Saccharomyces cerevisiae S288C: one gene and its partner. Changing the gene in region 2 together with the main gene of any one other region gives a genetic interaction. Each region holds a gene or a part of one and is shown on either strand. Other genes may lie near its edges.

What was found. Genes that interact genetically often act in the same process or in processes that back each other up.
Region 1: of STB1 (region 2) and IGO2, changing one suppresses a phenotype caused by changing the other (phenotypic suppression), as found in Saccharomyces cerevisiae (one study listed by BioGRID).

What each region holds. Positions count from the first base shown.
Region 1 is NC_001140.6:365,659-370,949, forward strand, and holds IGO2 (phosphatase regulator), read left to right. Parts: upstream 1-4,395; coding exon 4,396-4,791; downstream 4,792-5,291. Other genes in the region: YHR131C (uncharacterized protein), read right to left, coding at 1-2,234; ECM14 (putative metallocarboxypeptidase), read right to left, coding at 2,844-4,136; NSG1 (Nsg1p), read right to left, coding at 5,064-5,291. UniProt on the Saccharomyces cerevisiae protein: Required for TORC1 to properly control gene expression and chronological life span. Plays an essential role in initiation of the G0 program by preventing the degradation of specific nutrient-regulated mRNAs via the 5'-3' mRNA decay pathway.
Region 2 is NC_001146.8:46,425-55,152, reverse strand, and holds STB1 (Stb1p), read right to left. Parts: upstream 2,492-8,728; coding exon 1,229-2,491; downstream 1-1,228. Other genes in the region: KRI1 (Kri1p), read left to right, coding at 1-1,031; ZIM17 (Zim17p), read left to right, coding at 2,722-3,246; putative SCF ubiquitin ligase complex subunit SKP2, read left to right, coding at 3,465-5,756; RFA2 (Rfa2p), read right to left, coding at 5,937-6,751, 6,860-6,866; tetratricopeptide repeat-containing protein EMW1, read left to right, coding at 7,131-8,728. UniProt on the Saccharomyces cerevisiae protein: Involved in the regulation and timing of MBF-dependent transcription in late G1 of the cell cycle.

The DNA of each region.
Region 1 (5,291 bases), on a different chromosome or scaffold from region 2:
GGTCCCGAAACTGGAATATAGATAACCTTACCCAAACAGTCGTTACTATCTAGAAATGGTTTGATGCACTTCAGAGAATCCCTCAAATAACGCCTTCTTGAAATTTCCTTAATAGCTGGTTTCCATTTAATATCATCCGTTCCGTAAGGTATATTGGAGAAGCAACTTAGAGTAGAAGATGCTCGCCTTCGATTTCTTATTCGTTCTTCAATTAAACATGAATAATCACTTTCACTGCCATAAGCATAACCAATATTACTGTCATCAGTATCATCATTAGTATCATCGCCAGCATATTCATCGGTTTCACCGTCATTTTCGTCCTCATCGGTCTCAGTAGCGCTTTCATCGTCATTGATTTCAGCGTCACGGTTTGTGAGACATAACGACCTACTGCTTTGGGATAAATCTGTGGCGGATTCCCCATTAGGAGCTAATCCTGATAGGTATATCGAAGAGCTTTGAGGTTTAGGTCTAATAGATGCCTCATCCCTTTCATTGGCTACCAAATTCGACGCAACACTCCGTAATTCCTCTTTCATAACCGCATTTTGTGATTGCAGCATAATCTCGCAGCCATCAACGGAAAGATGCTCAATAGGAGAGGGTGAATGAACTGATTCACCCACTGTGCTATTTGGAAATTTGATGGGGACAACCTCCTCGCTAATTGCACGCCTCAATGACTGTCTTTGGGGCATGGAAATAGCTCTATTTCTGTGCATTGGACGCTCTACTTTAATGGTGGTATTTACTGGAACACCAGGCTCTGGATGATCTCCCCCGCTTGATTCATGGTGTTCATCATCTTCTTCCGTTTCAATAACACTATTTAAGTTACTTGAGTTGGACCTGAGTCTGTGAAGCTTTTCTGTGCGTGAAGAATTTTTAGGCCTGAAAAAGTTCTTAATTTTAAATTTTAAACTTCTAGATGCAATCGAACGGGAAGCTGAGCAACCAGATAATGACCTTGTTGATCCCAGGGTACTGTTATCACTGGATTCTCCTGATGCAGCCGAAGATATCAATGCCTCTGTAGGCGTCTTTGAGAGGCCAGTGCAGTAATGATCTAGTAGACCAGCTGTGAAAGTATTCGAGCGTTCCCTGATAGTTGTATTGTTATTAGTGCTAGACCCGGTACTATATCTTTGGATTAAGTCCGGTCTGGAATTCGAACGAATGAATCTCTGCGAAAAAGACCCCATCGAACTCTCACTTCTATGAGTGTGTCTTCTTCTCCTCCTTCTCCTCCTTCTCCTTCTCCTTCTTCTGGGAACAATTCGATAATCTGGATACTCCCTGACTTCCAAGTCCAAAGACACAGATATCCCGATTGATAGGTACATAGACCAGTCAATCATATCATCTATATGAGAGAACCGTAATAAAAACTGTTCGCTTTCACAAGACATTCTTAACACAAAACTCTTCTTGGTATAATCCGTTGGTATCCCAAATCTTGCATTTTGTAAAGTGAAAGACTTGTAAAGAGCTTCATCGGTTAAATACCGCGATCGATCACGTTTCACTCTATAAGAGATCCGTTCTTGATCTGCTTTTTTAAACTCCGAAGCTGATCTCGTCGGTAGAGTGAAGAGACGGTGATGCAGATGTTGTGATTGATCACTGCGATGGACCAAGTCACTATGAATTCTATCCTCTTTTTCAGATTTTGTTTCCCCGCTTGAATAATTCCTAATGTGTTTCGTCAAAGATTCGTCAATATGGTAAAAATTTAGTTGAGTCGAATTAATTTCAATGATGAAATTCCTCCAGCTCCTGTTACTAGAAATTTCATAAGGTGAAAGCCTTTCCAATTTTAAGGATATCAACGTCAATTCATATACTGCAGGTGCATACAAAGGAGGGAGAGAAGACTTTGGGCATGGTGCCGTGTCACCAAATATAGGAAAGCGGACCTCTTTATTGGGATTTACTAGATCATAGCTCGGTGGATAAGCAGGGAGGGGATCTATATGCTCGTAAAGATCTTGCTTGATGAAGAGAGCAGCGTGAGAAGAGGACGAAGCTGCAGTTTCCTTGATAATATTTATCTGACCAGAAACACCTTCCCGAGGAAGTTGACGCATGGTCTCTAAACATATAGAGCTGCTGTTATTGCTTGAAGTAATGAGAACCTCGTCCATTGAGCATGTTGATGAAGACGAGGGTGATTTTAACCTTTCGATCCTATTATTTGCCATGGATAATTTGCCCTCTATTGGCAGAGCCATCCTTAACAAACGAACAACTTGTATGCACGATGTCGGATCAAAAATATACTGTGGCCCCAAGAAACAACGATTTCTTTTGTGCTGGTCAACAAAATTGTAATCTTTTCGGTGGACCCTATTATGAAACTTTTCTCTTTTTTTTTTTTCTTACTGTAAGACAGTTAGATGCACCCACCTCACTGAAGCTTGATGATTACGACTAAATTAAAAACGCGGATATACAACTAAGGACTTACAATGTTGATCTCCTGAGTATTGTTAATGTCCAAAATGACCGAACAACAGCGGATAACGATATATATCCTTCTTGCAATTATAAAGAATCGTAAGATAACTCCGTCAACGATGATGTGGAAATTATGACCCTCTTGGAGGCTTAATCACTAAAAAGGAGATGAAGCCTTCAAGTCACATCAAAATAATCGAAGCCAACACCAAAGAATTTTACAGATTGGTTCTGCTCATGTTAGGGGGTGTATGAGCAGATAATCCAAGTTAAAATAATTTTTTGGAGAATATAGAAGAAAATATATAAGGTTTTGCTTTTTCTAGATTTTATATAGGATAGGGTATTACTAACTTGTAATATAATGTATACCGTGGTATCCATTATATCTCTGGGTCTAGTAGGAAGTCACAAAAGTACTTTAAAGCAGCATAAGTTTCCTTTCCAACTGGCTTGATGTTTTCTGGAGGCAATAAAAATCCATGGTTCCCTGTATCCCGTAATTTCAACTGGAATGCCCAATGTGCTCTGTGGTGGTACATGAAGTCCAACGCAGAACCTGCACCGAGGCCGGGGAATATGTCGGAACCACGGTCCTTACATGCGGAGATTACGTCGTAGTTTCTACCTGATTTTGAACGGATGGCCTTGGATAAGCCATATGATAACTCCAACAAATTTTCTAAGTCTCTGGGCAAGGCATCACACGAGTATGCGTAGGGATATAAAATCTCCTGTGAATACGAATGCATGTCAATGTAGCCATAAATTTTGTAATCGCCCTTGGTTTCATTAATATACTTGTACCAAGCAGATGCTTCCCAAGCTTCGAAGGGCGTTTCCCCACTATACTCTTCGCTGCAAGCGTGGGTGTGTGCCTTTTCCCACTGGAAACCAAAGGAATGATCAATGTCGATACCAAGACATTGAGGAACATGAGTCCTTTGACGATTCTTACGCCATAGTCTGTCATGCGACCACGTATATGCGTATCCGTCTGGATTGAACACAGGTATGACTAAAAAGTCCAAATCGTCCAGGTATTTGGTTTCCTTCTTAGACGAACCATATCGATTTAACAACTGATAAAGTGCCCAACAGACGGTACTGACACTGATCCACTCTCTGGCATGTATACCACCTGTGATAACAATAGTCTTCTTTTCCGGGTTTGATTCTGGCTTGTTTCCGGATATATGCAGAGCTTTTAGCTCTCTGCCTTCAAATGTCCTGCCCAAGTGTTCCACTGCAACCAAACTGGGAAAGCTTCTTTCTAGAAGATCCAACCACATATAAATAGTATCCAGGTCCCTGTATTCGTTAAAGAAGAAATCGTAATCATTTTCAAAAACAGCCTGCTCACGTGCCATCATCTGACTTGTAGGCAATGTATTTTGTATCAATTCATTCATGTTATCTATGATCACCTGCCCATCATTTATCTGCTCACCTATTTCTTTAGGCAACTTAATATCAATGAAATTATTGCTTCTCGTCCATACATCATAATCATCTGTCAGCGGTGCGATCACATCTCTTACCAGGGTAGAATAGTTGTCTGAAGTAAACCTGTAAACAGCGTATTCACTGTAATCCTCTTGGAGACCCTGCACAGCACCTGTCACGGCTAGTAAAACGAAAAGAAAACAACCCCACAACGAATTCATGTGCAACATGATATAACTTAACACTCTGGTTTGTTTATATAGTGTTAACTTGGTCTTTTAAACCGTCGAAAATATTTTATCCTTCCTTCCATTTAGTTGGAACCATTTTCTAGTTCTTCGTAAAATCCGCAGTCAGCGCAGGAGAAAATAGAACGAGACAAATGATCTTTTAAATTACAGGTTATCGCGGGAGAATATTGGGGTTCAGAAATACAACACATATAAACAAAAATACGTACCAAAGAAGTGTTATAAAAGTGATATAACTATGTCAGAGGATCTTTCACCTACAAGCAGCAGGGTGGATTTGAGCAATCCTCATGGGTTTACCAAAGAGGGAGTGGATTTATCGAAGCTGTCACCACAAGAACTAAAATTGTATAAAATGTATGGGAAGCTTCCATCCAAAAAAGATCTGTTAAGACATAAGATGCAGGATCGTCAATATTTTGACAGCGGAGATTATGCATTGAAAAAGGCCGGAGTCATTAAGTCGGATGACGTTATCGTGAATAATTCTAGTAATAATCTACCAGTGACCAATCCTAGCGGTTTAAGAGAGTCTATTATTAGAAGACGTATGAGTAGTAGTAGTGGTGGCGATTCTATCTCGAGACAAGGAAGTATCTCAAGTGGACCTCCACCAAGATCTCCAAATAAATGACTAATGAAGGAATGATATTATGTGGTATTACTTTTTTTTTATCATCACTAGCTTCGGCTAAGCCCTTGCATTTTCAATATTCAATTACCAAATAATATATATATATATATATATATATGTATGTATGGTATACCTTGTGTTACTGATGTGTTTTTTGTTGACGTCATCCTTTTGATTTACTCACATGCTTAGTAAATGAAGGTTGTTGAGGCCTAAAAATCAGCTAAGATTTACACATCGATACTAATCATTGAACGCCCCTATGGGAACACTTAATTGAATAAATATCTGCCCAACTTGCTGAACATCAAAAACCCAAAAAAATAGAAATCTATAAAATACAACGCCAGTGACAACTGCGAGAAACATTGTGAGCAAGTGAACGCACTAAGGGCACCAATTACTAGACCTGGGAAAAAAACGGTTAAAGTGCCATCAAAGAACAACCACAGAACAATGTTTAATAAGCTCCATGCACCAGCTGCCTGCAAAGAGGAGGA
Region 2 (8,728 bases):
AATTTGAAGATGCTGCAGAAAAATTTGAGAATGCCTACAATTTTAGGTACGAGGACCCAAACGCAGCTGAAATTATATCTTATGCACGTAGTCAAGCTACACTAAGAAGATCCGATGACTCTTCACGCAGAAGAAAAAGAGAGGAAAAAAGAAAAATTAAAGAGCAAATAAAAGCAGAGAAGGAGACAGCTCTTCAGAAAAAGAAGACTAAAAAATTGAATAAATTGACTGACATTTTAGAGCAACTAACAAAGGAATATGGTGCTGAAATTAATGCCGACATGGTGAAAAAAATCACTGACACCCTATTGAAGAACGATTTCAAAGAAGAAGAGTGGGATAACGTGGTAGCTGAATTATTTAATGAAGAATTTTATCAACAAGAGGGAAAGCCTACCTGGAACGAGGATGACGAAATAATGGGTGACTTTTATGCAGACGCCGATGGTGATGACCAAACAGAAGAAGGTGAAGTGGAAAAAGAACAAAAAGAAGAAGACGAGGAAGAAGGTCCAAAAAGAAAGAAGAGCAAGAAAGAAGAGAAACTGCAAAAGAAGAAAGAAAAGAGAAAGGTAAATGAATTAGTGGAAAATGCTTTGGAACAAAACAAACTAGCACTAATAGAGGAGGTTGAAAAAGAAGAAGAAGAAAGAAAGAGTAGAAGCCGTACAAAAGAGGAGCAAGATTTGAAGTTTCGTTACCGTGAAGTTTCTCCTGAGAGTTTCGGTTTGACCGCAAGAGAGATTTTCGCCGCCGATGATACTGATTTAAATGAATTTATTGGTTTGAAGAAATTTGCACCTTATCGTTCCAAGGAACTAAGAGCGAAGGATAAAAGGAAAGTGATGAAGGCAAGAAGATTAAGAGAGTGGAGGAAGAAAACTTTTAAGAACGAAAATGGGTTAGCTCCAGTCGAAGCAGAGGCAGGGGAGAAGGATGAGGACACCATACTGATACCTGTAGAGAAAGCCTCTAAAAGCAAACACAAGAGGGGGCACAGTCATAAACATAAAGGCCACCAGAAAAAGTAAACTAGGTGAAATATCGGCCCTGTATATTACGATACATAAGCTTACATAGTGATAATCTATCTCCGAATTTCCCTAAAAAAGAATGTCATTTTACGTATTAATATGTAATTTTATAATTTCAACATTTGTCATTTTTGTCCCTTTGAGTGGTCCATTTCAGGAAGTATGGAATCATCAACTGATATGGCCGTCAACGATCAATCAGTGAGTTTGTCATCAATGGACTCCCCTTCGCCTATACGGTCGGTGCCGGGTCCTACAATGAGCGGGATCCCGTTTGCGTTCATATCTAGAAAATTGTTTGTGGTGTGGCTTGATATAGCAGCTGTTGCTATCGCAGAAGTGTTGGAAGATGATCCGGGCACCATCGCTGGAACAGAAGGAATTGAAGCTGACGTGTTTGACGCTCCCTGCTGGGCGGGGACCCTTGGTGAAGGGCTGAAAAGATTATGCAGATAGTCTCCCATGTTGAAGTTGGGCGTCCTGAGTAAGTTAAAATTGGTACCGTTCAATTCTCTTGAAGGCGTGGTAGGTACGTTACTAGGTGGATGCAATGTGTTTGTGGTGGGCTTTCTTCTCTGCTGTGGCGATAGTGTCGCCTGGACACTACCGTTATTATTGCTCAAGTATAGTGATGGAGAATCCATGAGAGATTCGTCCGGAAAATTCGGTAACAGATTAGATTTGAAAGTGGACTGCGGAGAAGACGCTGAAGGTTTGATATGAGAGAATCTTACTGCATCGTTTGATGTGCTTGCTGTATTACCGTTCAAACTCAATTGCGACGCGTAATGATAAGAGCGTGGAGTAGTGGGCATCCTTACGGCCATCGGTGTTCCATGATGTGATGACTTATTATATGGACTTGTGGCTAAATACATTAAGAGATCAGCGCCCGCAGTGTTGTCGCTGTCCTGTGGAGCATCCTTAGAGCCTGCTGCCTTCTTCTTGATATTATTATTGTTATTGCTATGGTTACTGCTGTTGTTATTATTACGTTTTGGCGTCATGAAATTCTTATCATGGGGGCGCTGGTAGTGTGACGAAGCGTGTGGTAAGATTATAGGTGTAGCAGAAGCCCTCGGAGTAGATGGAGTGTCCTCCTTCCTAGGCTTGATCTGCTGTGAGCGGTCTTCGGCTTTTCGTTGGCGTGAACTTGGGGGAGTATTTGGCTTCTCTACAAATTTTACGGGCGATATAACAGTCATTTTATTTGTATCATCGTGGAGAGGCTTTTTCGCAGGCGATATGGCTTCCAAAAGAGTTTTGTGGTCCTCATCAACATCTTCGGCATCCTCTCCGCTTCTTTTCTTTGTTGTAGAGTCCTGTTTTCGTTTTGTTGATGGGACATTACTTAAACCAAGCTTTAATTGACGCGTCATCTGAGCCAACTCAGCTCTATGCAAAATCTTGGAGGCCAATTCTTGCTCTTTTTCAGGGGACATCTGGGGTTGAGACATTTCTTGTATGCACAATGGGAACACTGATTGAAAATAGTAACGCTCTACGTACTCCTTCTTTCGATGATATTTTTGGTTCCTTCTGCACTTCATAATTGTAATTTTTTTTTCTTGCATTTTCGCGTGATATCAAAATTATGAGAGGAAAGGTGAAAGAGCGTCATGTTGGCTTCAAGGGATCAGCGATACTAAAGCAGCACCGGTGCAACTGGAATATCAAGAGACTGAACATGATTCCGAGGACTAGAACACTACTGCAAAGTAAAATACCAATTACCAGGTACTTTGCCAGATGTTGGGCGCCTCGCGTACGCTACAACGTGTGCCGTACTCTACCCGCAGCAGCGTTGCATACCAATATCATCGCACATAATGAAGTGAAAAAGGACGATAAGAAGGTTCATTTGGGGTCTTTTAAGGTAGACAAGCCTAAGATGATGATAGCTTTCACCTGCAAGAAATGTAACACCCGATCTTCACACACAATGTCCAAGCAGGCGTACGAGAAAGGTACTGTCTTGATCTCTTGTCCGCACTGCAAAGTGAGACATTTGATAGCAGACCATCTGAAAATATTCCATGATCATCATGTTACCGTGGAACAGTTAATGAAAGCTAACGGAGAACAAGTTAGCCAAGACGTGGGCGACTTGGAGTTTGAAGACATCCCAGATTCGCTAAAGGACGTCCTGGGAAAATATGCCAAGAACAACTCAGAAAATGCATCCCAGCTCCCTCACCCTTCCCAGAAATGAATGAAGAGCTCATGCACAGGCATGTACATAGATAGATATATAACCGTTAAATAGCACGTTTTTCCAGAGACTGAGTCATGATTACTGCCAAAAACCCGCACATCACATATTTTTTTGCGATAACCAGCAGAAGATTTAGGACTAGAGTACATAAAGATGAGCCACTGCTAGATATGAAAAGTTGAACCGCATTTTCAAACGTTCAAACCAACCGAATCATGAAACGGTTGCAATTGTTTGGTAGATCAAAATATTTCTCGCTGGTCTCCAGTGCTGCGAAGGAGGAAGAAGAAGAGGAAGAGGGCTGTGCTGATGCCAAAAGCCTTCTACATAGTACGAGCCATGATATCAAATCGAGATCACTACGCTTCAACGATAAATCGTCCCTCATGTGTTTGCCAACAAAAGTTCTACTGTTAATACTGCGAACTTTGGACTTCAATACATTAGTAACACTATGCCAAGTCAATTCGAGGTTCTACAATTTGATTACGAATGAGTTCCTTTTCCAAAACGTTATTTTGGACTCAAAACTTTCGTTGTTAAAGTTCAATGCTTTGATACACTCCGAGTTCCACACGTCGAACATTGTCACACACAGCGGTGATTGTAGCACACAATCTAGATCACAAAATGCAAGGTTCCTCGTAAGATCCATCGAATTCAAAAATCCTCAGTCCCAAGACTCGTTGTTAAAATACAGTAAGTTCTATAATAAGAGTGGCCAAGATTCTATTATTGCTGGATCTTATAAACTCGATTCGTATGATAAAGACGTAAAAAAACTGAATAACATCAGACTAAACGATGAGACTCCCATCATAACTTCAGAACGAATCAAACTGCTTGATAAATTGGAAAGCAACTACTTCCATTATACTTATATTGAGCTAATGCTTGATATTATAGACTATCTACCGAACCTGACCAGAGTGATTCTGAGTGATGTGGAACCGAATTTTAAAATTCCTTTATGGTACTCTGTATTCAACGATGGATCTAGAGATTTTTTCAAGAAAATAATCAAGGGCCAGCAATCCATCACAAACGAAGATTTGAGGACTTTCCAACTATCCAAAAAATTTGTCAAAGAATACGAATCCAAGTATTATTCTCTGCCAAGGTTGAAAATACTGGAAATCAAAGCTAATAATAAAAGACAAAGAACCTTTAATCGTCAACGCCATCACCAAAAGCTCGTACTAAGACCGAGTTTATTCTGCTGTTTCGGCATAATTAATGAACTTAAACTAGAAAATGTAACGATAGACACCGAATCGCTAGATACTCCAATGGAATTCTTACCACTATTTCTAAAGAACGAAGATAATGAACTGTACAGTTTACAGTCTCCTATCACTGCACTTACTTTAGATTCATGTGATGTAGTTCCTGGAAATGGAATATTACGTTTGTTTCACTCTTACTTTAAAATGGTCAAACATCTATCCTTACTGAAGATTAACAGTAAATTCGACTTATTGTTATGCAGTTGTTTCCCATCGTTATCCAATCTAACAATTGATTGTAATAGCAAATGTTTCACTAACGAACAGGTAGTCGGCGAATCATATTATTTCCAACAGCGAAGTTTGGATACAGAAGATGATTTTGATGACTGCAATTCCATGACAGAAACATTATTTGAAGCGCCATCAGATTCGAAGATAATTACTCCTCCGCCGACATCTTCAGTTGTATTGTCCTTAAATCTGAACTATATTTCTAGAACTACAGGAAATGATGTTTCAAATAACCCATCACCAGACAATAACAAAAAGCCCGCCATGTTAACTGCGGCACAGCTACAAAATTTTCAACGACAAAGAATCCCTGAATTTCATTCTTTCTACCATTATTACCGCTTACTTTGGGAGAGACTTCCAAGTAAAAATATTTCTATTAACGTAATCAATATCCCCTTTACCAATGTGTATCCTTTATCCCCTCTATCGTTTTGGGAACATCTAGCAAGAACAATTACTAGTGTTGATGAGACAGATGAGGATGTTGGCGACGAGAACGATCAAGAAACATTAATCGGTTACGAAAATAATTCCATAAGAGATAACATACCAAATGCTAATGCAGTTCCAAATTTAAGTACAGTAATGAGCCCTGAATCAGACATTCACCACACTTACTATTGGAACAACTCTGTAAGGCGTTGCCTAAGAGATAGTTTAATCAAATTGAAGAACCGAACCATCGAATATAGAGATTTAGATGTGGAGGAGTTCTTACAAAATGTGACATTGGAAAATTTTTTCAATGATTTCCAAGATCCAGAGAATTTTAAAGATATTCCAAATATTAACCTCTGGTGTTTCCTGAGAAATTTGTCAAAATTCAAAGCTGTCAAAATAAGAATGCTGAGACATTTTTCATTATGTACACCTAGAACCAGATACGACTGGGAACTATTATTGAAGCCCGTACTGCGTGTAAATGTTCCCATTGAAGTCAGAGATAAGGACGGATTCGTTCTTTATTCTTACGGGCAAAAATAAATGACTTTTTGTAGTGGACTTTATATAGCATATTTATGCAACCAACTTAATATTCATGCATCTTACCCCTTCTTGGAACGGGTTCCATTTTCCACTCTATTTCCGGCAAATTTTGGTACTTACCTAGTAGAAATACACAAACGAATACTAAGAAATGCTAAAAAAATAATCTATATATTTTCATAGGGCAAAGAAGTTATTGTCATCAAAAGTTGGGTAGATAAAACCCTGGTCAGTCAAGGTCGTACAGCAGTTTCTGACGGTAGTTTCATCCAAATTCAAGGATTGCGAGATCAATGGAATGGGAACAGCGAATGAATTAGCGTCTTTGCCCTCACATTGCTTCTTACAAAATTCTAGAATTCTTTGTAACGGACTGGAGCCGGAAGATGTATCGTTATCATCCTTGACAAATAATGATTGCCCATTGTTGTTGGATGCACTCTCCAAAGGTTGTTTCATCATTCCACTGGCTATGGAATGACATTTGATGACTTCCAAGTGATGCGTCAACACTTCATTGAATGAATCTATGGGCTTAATCACCGCATACTGTATATTTTTCTTACCACCAAACTCTTTCAAAGCACCAAAAACTTTTACGTAACCGCCAATTTCAAATTGTTGGGCGACTTGCGAACCATAACCTTTACCAGAAGAGTCATCGTTACCGGCAGCCAAGTCATTTGCATCTTCGCTCCATTTTCTCACTTCTATTTGACCAGTTCCATCCTCAATAGTTAAAAAAATATTTGCAGTATGGTCTGTAATGTTTCTCACCACACCTACAAAACAAACGTGATGAAGTTCTTGGTTATGCGAAACGAAGGGGCCGTCCTGAATATCCTGTTTGGACTCTAGAATTTGTTTGATCGTCACAGGTGTCAAGGTGTTAACTCTAGTGTTAGTTTCCGACTCCCCACTACCTGGGCGGGACTCAGAGTTCTCAAAGCCACCGCCCGTTACTGATGAATATTCGTTATATGGTTGATAGGCTGTATTGGAATCCCATCCATTGTTAGTAATTTTAACATTCGCCAATAAAAATAAAAAAAATGATGCAGAAAAGAGCAAATCCTCCAATTCCTAGCACTAATACATACTTGCCATTATGTATATGCTTAAACTAGCCTGTTCTAGATAGTCGCTATCGATTTTGCCACATTACTTCCACCTTAAGTTGATATAATATTGCTTATTATAAAGGAAAGAACGCGTTTCCTAACGCGTTTCGTATATGGCGATAATTATCTAAGAAACTTCGCATCGTGAAAAAAAAGATGAAAATTGAAAATGGAAGCTCATCGAGGCCAAAGGAATTGCTAAAAAGAAGCTATCAGACCAGGCAAAAAGTAAACTAGTGGTTGCAAAATTATGGAGACGTTATTGCATGCAAAATTATTGCTGTCTGCAGAAGTAGAATCTCTGAAAAGTGGTTCTTTCGACCAGACATATGTGAAAAAGGCTGAACATATCATCAGTGGTGAATCATACCAGCTAGTACAGCAATTTGTGGACAAATTTAAGGGAAAAATTAGTATTTCGGGAGAAATATCCACATCTAGTGTTATTGCTGCTCTAAATGACTTTCTTAACGTTGAGGTTTTCAAAATGGGCCAAGAAAATGAGATGCTATTTTTGGCTATTGCCCTCTTACAGACCTTTATTCAAAATAACTACACCGGCCCAGCAGCTAGGTTGAAAGCAATCTCAGGTTTGTTTGGCAAAACTGGAATTGAAATAGGAGCAGTTAATACAGCCCTTTCCCGCTCATTAGCCATTATGGGCCAGCCTGCCTACGAATTTATGGATGATCCATTGTATTTGGTTTTATCACTATTATTACTTGAAAGGATAACCGGCCAAAAAAGCTTATTTGATGTTACCCCGGATCAAGAAATTCCGCTACCTATTATCTCTGCTGAGTCTACTCCTGGATTATTAGCTGTAGCTTATTGGTGGTGGGCAAGAGCTCTTTTGACGCAATTGTCACTGATTCCAGAACCTTCTGGGTTCCAAGCTAGTGTTGCATCTGCAATATATCAGTCTGCTGACCTTGCATATGCGATAACTAAGGAATTACCGGAGAGTATTCACGAAGATTTCAAAAGAGAACTTTGTGCAATGTACTATCTAGAGAATGTCAAATGTTCATTGGCCATCAACACAGAACATTTGTGCCTGCCATCCTTGACCAGAGCGAAAAAGATAACAAATTTTGAATTTGTAATGACGGGTGCACGCGCTACTAGAACTAAATATCAGCAAAAGGCTCATGCCGGTTTGATCATTCTTGCCAAATCCTTCACATTTCAAAATTTTGCTTTGAGAACGACATCTGCTACACCAGAAACATTTGCTTTAGAGTCCGATCTATTATTGGAGAAGCCTCATTTTGAGTCCATTGCTGATGAACCTCTAGACGAGCAAATTTATAGTAAAAGACAAAAGGTAGACCTAAATGAAGGTTATGAAGAAGATAAACTATTGCCATTGGCACTACGTCAAGAAAATATTCCAAAGTTGTTGCTGGATTTGAACCCTAACGATCAACCTACCCTATCTGATTACGACAACATCCAGTTGCTGTTACGTCTTTACACCATAAAGAACACAACTCCGGCCAAGGATCCTCTTGTGGAAGAAGAACTTACTGCTTTGCTTTCTAGAATATTATATCAAAACGGTGACAAAAATTGGTCTATTTTCGCCCGATCATTATGGGAAAGGTCAATTATTGAGACAACAAAGGCTAAAACTATTGAAAGAGGACTTTTACAAATGCAATCCCTCGTAGAAGAATTGGATTTGAAGATTAAGAGTAAATTGGTTCCAAGTTCAAGCGAAATCAATGTTGCTAGCAGGCTGTCATACATCCACCAGCTGCCGTTCATCCCTAGGTGGCAATTGGATGCCACCTTAGCTGAAAAATATATGTCGCTGGGTATTTTGAAGTCCGCTGTGGAAATTTA